Linked DNA regions of Neodiprion lecontei. The protein of the gene in region 2 purifies or fractionates together with the protein of the main gene of each other region. This does not show direct contact. Links are inferred from orthologs where the notes say so. Each region holds a gene or a part of one and is shown on either strand. Other genes may lie near its edges. The genes, in order: mitochondrial import inner membrane translocase subunit TIM14 and mitochondrial import inner membrane translocase subunit Tim16.

Evidence for each region.
Region 1: the proteins of mitochondrial import inner membrane translocase subunit Tim16 (region 2) and mitochondrial import inner membrane translocase subunit TIM14 purify together in Homo sapiens (affinity purification with mass spectrometry; 3 studies listed by BioGRID and IntAct, with this or other methods). This does not show direct contact. The link is inferred for Neodiprion lecontei from reciprocal best matches to the Homo sapiens genes PAM16 and DNAJC19.

What each region holds. Positions count from the first base shown.
Region 1 is NC_060263.1:26,439,768-26,443,658, forward strand, and holds mitochondrial import inner membrane translocase subunit TIM14, read right to left. Parts: upstream 1,859-3,891; 5' UTR 1,592-1,858; coding exon 1,589-1,591; intron 1,216-1,588; coding exon 1,081-1,215; intron 880-1,080; coding exon 667-879; 3' UTR 522-666; downstream 1-521. UniProt on the Homo sapiens protein: Mitochondrial co-chaperone which forms a complex with prohibitins to regulate cardiolipin remodeling.
Region 2 is NC_060265.1:28,102,020-28,105,211, reverse strand, and holds mitochondrial import inner membrane translocase subunit Tim16, read left to right. Parts: upstream 1-1,717; 5' UTR 1,718-1,923; exon of another isoform or gene 1,924-1,955; intron 1,956-1,985; 5' UTR 1,986-2,043; coding exon 2,044-2,433; 3' UTR 2,434-2,515; downstream 2,516-3,192. Other genes in the region: exonuclease 3'-5' domain-containing protein 2, read right to left, coding at 2,833-3,060, 3,130-3,192. UniProt on the Homo sapiens protein: Regulates ATP-dependent protein translocation into the mitochondrial matrix. Inhibits DNAJC19 stimulation of HSPA9/Mortalin ATPase activity.

The DNA.
Region 1 (3,891 bases), on a different chromosome or scaffold from region 2:
GGAGAGTTAAACCAGAAGCGAAAATCCTGTAATATACCCAATTAAACAATTCACAAACAATGATTCAAACTGTATGGATGGCATCGACAGGTAAGATATACCATTCTGTGTACTTCCTTGACTTAGAAATAATTTTATTATTCTGTTTAAATGCTGAAGTATATGAGTGCAAAAAATACGGTGCTCTATTAATTAGCATCTCTACTGGTATATCATACTTTTTGATAATCTTTGTCCAATCAAATTTGCTTTGACGTTTTTTATGATAAAAATGTGTGAGCAACTTTCTATAATTCTAACGAAAATGATTTTTATGGTTTACAGGTTCCATAATATCGAAAATTTAGCACGAATTGCCGAACAATTATTGCTGCAATAAATCGACGAATAAAATCTAAGCATAAAGGCATTACATTACGCTACATGTAGTACCCTGATTTGTAAATACTACTATTGTTCATAATTCAACGACGTTTTCGAAACCTCTAATGAGATTGGGAAATAAGGAATGTTCTTCAATGTCCAAAAAATAATTATTTATTCCTATTTAAATTGATCTATACATAAGTCGCAAATCAATTTGAAATAGTATGCTCAAATTTGGTTTGCATTCAATGATACTATTTGAAATTAATTAGAATACTAATAGCTATATAACTGAAAATACTATTTTTCAAGTAGATCCTTGGCTTCATTAATTTTAGCAGCTAAGTACGGTGAACCACCTCGATCCGGATGATTGGCAGACATAACTTTCATAAAATGTTCTTTAATTTTAGACTTGCTGGCGGTCGGTGATACTCCCAAGATAAGGCTGGCTTCTCTTTTCGTCATTTTGGGTTCAAATCCTCCTTTGTAGTACCGACTGTTTGCAAGTGACTGAAAAATAAACATAGTCCAAAATGAAAATCTAGATAATTCACATCTCTGTGTACAAGTACTTTCAGAATGCCAAATAAATTGATCAGAATCATTGAAACCACATCGAGCAGCATCATCATTGCTCAAAATCCAATCTTTCAAACCCTCAGGTTAAATTGTGCTTCATGTGCTATACAACATACATGAATTCATTCTTACCTGTGCGTCGAGTTTGGGCATGCCCTTAACTGCCTCAGCCATCTTTTGGGACAGCGTCGGCATGGCTCTAACAATGTAACGTCCAGCAAAACCAACAGCAGCCAACCCTAGTCCCGCAACGATCACTGTAGTAGACTGTGAAATTAATTGTGTTACTTTGGATCGCAATATAATGTAGGGTCGTCTTGAACCTAAGACTAGTTAATGTTAATAAAATGTAAATGTTCGTTTGGATAAAAAAGACAAAATCCAAATAGAGGGTTTCTTTTAAGTACGCAGAATCAATAGAGTAAATATTTGCGATAAGCAAAACTAATACAATACATGAATATTCGAAAGTCTAGCTCACGCTCGGACAGAATTGGTGTTGAAATGAAATTTAGATATCATGAAACAGTCGCAATAAATATAAAAAGACAATTTCAAGATTGTCAGAAAATGTAAATTCTGCGTGTTTGAAAAGTTGAAGATAATTTTATATTTCGAAAATGATCTCTGCTTTTCTCACCATTCTTCGAGCTCCTGATATTTATCTTGGGTATGGTAAAATACGAAATAATTAGGACAAATTCTGTTTTGGATACACTTATAATCCTAGCAGTACAATTAACCTAATTTACGGTTGCAATGTAGCATCCCGTGGATGTAAATAACAGTAGGCAATTTGCGTTTGCAATAAATGCAATATATGTAGCAATGCAGAGGTGTTCATCTAAAATTTAAGGTTAGAATGCCGCGACGACATGACGTGCGCAATGCGCCCAAGCCGACTATGTCCTTTATACGTGTTTATACGGCTGAGGAAGTGATAGGCTACTGCTCTTCTCCCTCTTCTCTGGTCTCCGCGGAGTACAATCTGCCTAGAAAATTGAGGTCGATTTCAAGGCACAAAGTTTCCGGTGATTTAATTAAAGTATAGGTACCCGAGAGAAGAATGTATACATAGATCATGAATAATGATAGATCAGATGTAATAATGATGCAGAGACCAACAAGTACATATGTATATGCGGTCCATGTACGATATTAATATAAATGATCCATTCTCGATTAATACGTAATGCATACGATAAATTTTATAATTTTCCAGGAGACAAACTAGATTACCTACAGTAATACGTCTATAATATGAAAATACTAGAATTATTCATTTCGGAATGGTATTCTATTCGACGCGCGCTCGATGTATTCCATAACATTAGTATTCATAATTATTCCAACAACTTTTCATTTGCTCTCTCGATCTTGAATTTTCATAGGCATAGAATCGAAACGCTGTTTTAGCTAGTCGCAAGTGAAGTATCTACGTTGGGTAGAGAAACAGAATTATTTTTCGTAAAGTATTCGGATGGAAAAAAATTCAAAGTAACTGTAATACATCACGGATGCGCTGATTTTGAACGAGATGAAATGGATGCTTCGTATATGAGACGGTATTTAACGCTGCGTAGTGATTGAAAGACCTGAAAAGGTGATAGGGAGAGAAAGAACGAAGCTTCTTAACACTTCGAGTGTATTTTAACACACATTTGAAAGATAAGAGCAAAATTTTTCATCGTCCAACTGTCGCAGAACGGCAGCGTTATCAGCTGACCCGTTAACTGAAGGATATATCTTCAGTCAACGGCTGACCATCGAAGGGCCTGGCCGCTTGAGTCTGGAATCGGCAGGAGAGATAAAGTGCGTATTTCTTGTATGAAATGTGAAAACTAAAATCATTATACATCATATCATATCATCGTACATCATACATCATACATCATACATTATATCATATCATCACACATCATACATCATACATCATACATCATACATCATCATACATAGTATCAAAGTTCGAAACCAAAGTTTAGATGTCGGATGTTCAGAAAGTGACGTCACCAATTCAAAATCAGCTAGCCGAATTCCTCAGTCGGGAAACAACCGCGCAGTAGAGCGGACGCATGAGAGTCGCGCTCCGCAAATTTCGAGTACCGGGTTCTCAACCTCCCGGATCCCGCGCTTCGGGTCCGCTACGTATTTCGAGTACCGGGTTCTCAACCTCCCGGATCCCGCGCTTCGGGTCCGCTACGCGATGAAACTCGACTTCCAGGATAAGCGCTCCGTGGTTCCTGGTTCATGTTTACAATAAATTATTTCAATTCGTTTTTCGCGCAAGCCCATATTCAGTAGCTTTCAGTCCGCTAATAAAATTTCTCGACTTCCAGGATAAGCGCTCCGTGGTTCCTGGTTCATGTTTACAATAAATTATTTCAATTCGTTTTTCGCGCAACCCCAAATTCGGTAGCTGTCAGTCCGCTAATAAAATTTCTCGACTTCCAGGATAAGCGCTCCGTGGTTCCTGGTTCATGTTTACAATAAATTATTTGAATTCGTTTTTCGCGCAACCCCAAATTCGGTAGCTGCCAGTCCGCTAATAAAATTTCTCGACTTCCAGGATAAGCGCTCCGTGGTTCCTGGTTCATGTTTACAATAAATTATTTCAATTCGTTTTTCGCGCAAGCCCATATTCGGTAGCTGTCAGTCCGCTAATAAAATTTCTCGACTTCCAGGATGAGCGCTCCGTGGTTCCTGGTTCATGTTTACAATAAATTATTTCAATTCGTTTTTCGCGCAAGCCCATATTCAGTAGCTGTCAGTCCGCTAATAAAATTTCTCGACTTCCAGGATAAGCGCTCCGTGGTTCCTGGTTCATGTTTACAATAAATTATTTTAATTCGTTTTTCGCGCAAGCCCATATTCGGTAGCTGTCAGTCCGCTAATAAAATTTCTCGACTTCCAGGATAAGCGCTCCGTGGTTCCTGGTTCATG
Region 2 (3,192 bases):
CGTCGTTTCATTATTGAGATGAATCGAATTATTCCGAATTTTCGTCGCATACTTGGTGATAAAATTTTACGCACCCCCTTCTGATATTTATTCGTAAACAATATTCATCATCGTTTCGTACAAATCGTCGTGTCTCGGATCTCACGTCGATCGTCCGTACGTAGAATACCGTAAGAATTCAAATTCTCGGCTACTTCGTAGAGTAGAATTTAAAACAGCATACATCCACATATACGGACACTCTGACGCCGCCTCACTTTTTTTCATTGATAATTCAATTACCAGTCTAACTAAAATTCATCGTTGACAATATTAGCCGATCGTGGTTTTACCAATGTTCGGATAAAAATACGTGCAGGGCAATGCAATCGTCATATCGTAAAAAGGAAATCAATCCAAGTTTAGCGCACGTATGTTAATACTTATTCAACAATATTTAAGGTCGCACAATCTGCTCTTATATCCCTCCTGCGTTCGAAAGTTCAACCCTTTTTCGTTACCGAGTAGCGACTGGTTCGTACGGCCTCTAGTTACGGTACTGAAGGACATGCGGACCGACGGACGGACGGACGGTCGGTCGGTCGGTCGATCGAAGTAAAACCGAGGGCGCCACCTCGCCGCCAACCCCATTTACACACGACCCATACGACACGACCTATACGCGCGGCATATCGACATTATCGTTCGCAATACGCGGTGGTTCAAGGAGACGGAATGATTTCAACGCGCGCTTGTCGGAGATGGTATCTGGAGTTAACTTCAAGCCGATGGAATTACAAGGCGAGGGGGAACAACGTCGTGAATAACACCGTTTGACCGTTACTTTTAGAGAAATGCTAATTCGTGACGCGGCGCGGTCTTTCTCGACTTGCGCGTTGTGAAAATTTGACAACGGAGACGCGCAGTGACGTCAACGGTATATGAAAATTTAAATCCACGCCAAGGGGATTTGCCATGTAGAGTAGTAAAAGGAAAACACCCTTGCATAAAACGAGGAGAAATAAAAGAATAAGCCGCGCAATCTCTATTTCGGTATAACGTTGAGTAAAGCGAACGAACGAAATGTTTCCATCGCCTCTCGGAATTATGCATATCAACTGAAAGTACGAAAAGTACATTTCAGAATTTAATAACCGCTATGTCTTGGAATGGAATACTGGAAAATTAGATTCCGTAGCAGTGGCCGGTGATAAAGGAAAGTAATTTACCGGACATTGTAATTTTAGTTGCGTTTTTCTTTCCATCTTATTTCTCACCACGCCAATACGAACTATTATTTTTTATGACTCTTTGTTAGGAACGGTAAAAAATAAGTAGAGGATATTTATCGATTCATAGTTTAATTATGGAATGAGGATAAGACAACGAGATATGTGGAGAGAAAAAGAGGTTTGCGTAGCTGGAACAGTTCATCGATTCTCACGCTTCGAATTCCACAAACGTTCCACTTCTCACTATTTAGATCTTAACACCGTCTATCGATATAGTTGTTGCTTTCATTCACCGCAAAATTGTTAAACAAATATGTATTTTCATAGGACACAGTACCGTTTATATTTCTGTGCCAAATGTCTAATAAGATAACCTGGCGTATATCTGCTTCTCGGCCATATCGTTATAATAATACGTATAACGAAATGTGGCTATACGACGATACTTAGATATAATTAACGACGGACGACGATTTCAGTTAATTGAATTCAAAGTGTTTACCCGCCGCAGATAATCGAATCCGAAACCCTCGATTACAGGGTAATTGGAATCGACACGATGCGATCGATGAAACCTGTACGCGAAGCTCGAATCATCGGACTCGTTTTCGGTTCACTCAGCGGCCAGCATTCAAATTCACGCCATGGCGAAGTGTGCCAAAAGTGAGGTTAGGTCGCCAATGGTGTCGTAACGAACGAGTCACTTCACCAGGTACAACTCGATACAACAGTGACATTTAGAAGGTTAGGATTTACTTCAAAACCTACTTACAGGTTACGCGAAGTGACAATTTATACCTGTGACTCCTCTGCAGGAGACAAATCCGAGGCGATGGCTAAATACCTGGCGCAGATAATCGTCCTGGGAACACAGGTCGTGGGTCGAGCATTTGCGCGTGCTCTTCGTCAGGAAATATCGGCTAGCCAAGAGGCAGCTAAGAGAGCTGGCGGCGGTGCTCAAGGTAGAGAAAGAGCTGCCGCGAACGCCAGGACTGGTCTAACTTTGGATGAGGCGCTGCGCATCATGAACATGGAGAGTCTCAAGGACAAGGAAGCGTTGGAACGTAATTACAAATATTTAATGGAGGCTAACGACAAGTCGAAAGGTGGATCGTTCTATCTTCAGTCAAAAGTCTTCAGAGCCAAGGAACGCATAGACGAAGAATTGAAGAATCAGGAACCACCTGGCCCTGACCCTCATAAAAAGAGCAAAGAAACTTAGCCCATTTAGCATCTAGTCTTTCAAATCTATCGCTGTTATGCCTGTATATATTAATTAATAATAAACGGTAATAGATATGTGACATCTATGTTGTCGCGTTCTTTTTTTAGATATCATGAATATATCGCTTAGAGTTGGCTTAACAAGGAATTTGCGTTACAGAAATATAGATGCACTTGCAAAGACCAAATAACTGATGCAATATGTGGGACTAACTTTCACATCATATCATGAGACATCAGAGTTATTTTACTCACTAGTCAGCTGTTGCTGATTGCAAGTTATAAAGAATGTAACGTGAATAAATGATGTGCAGGAAAAAAAAATAAAAACATGTAGTAACCGCAGGGAATATTATATTCTAAAAATAATCGGTTATTTACGTAGGAAATGTCACGTTTACGCATGGCAGCTGATCTTTTGGTCGTTTTCAAGTATCCCGGCCAATTTCGCATCTTGTGGTTCTATCCTGCGTTGCTGTAGACGGATTAGTAGACGCTCCTGATTGTGGCAGACTGACCACAATTCGGGCATATACTTTGGCTCCATTGCTGATAAAAAGTGCTCTCTCCAAAGCTGTTCCAACTCGACAAGACCGCCAGGTTGACTTTCAAAATGCTCTACAACCTGTATAAATTTCGTGTCATTTAGATAGGTGCAAATGGTTAAAGGGATGTTGAAACTATTGGTAGATACCTTCAACCCGTGTGGCGTACGACCCGTTTGCACAGATACTGAGGGCTGCGTTGCTTTTATTTG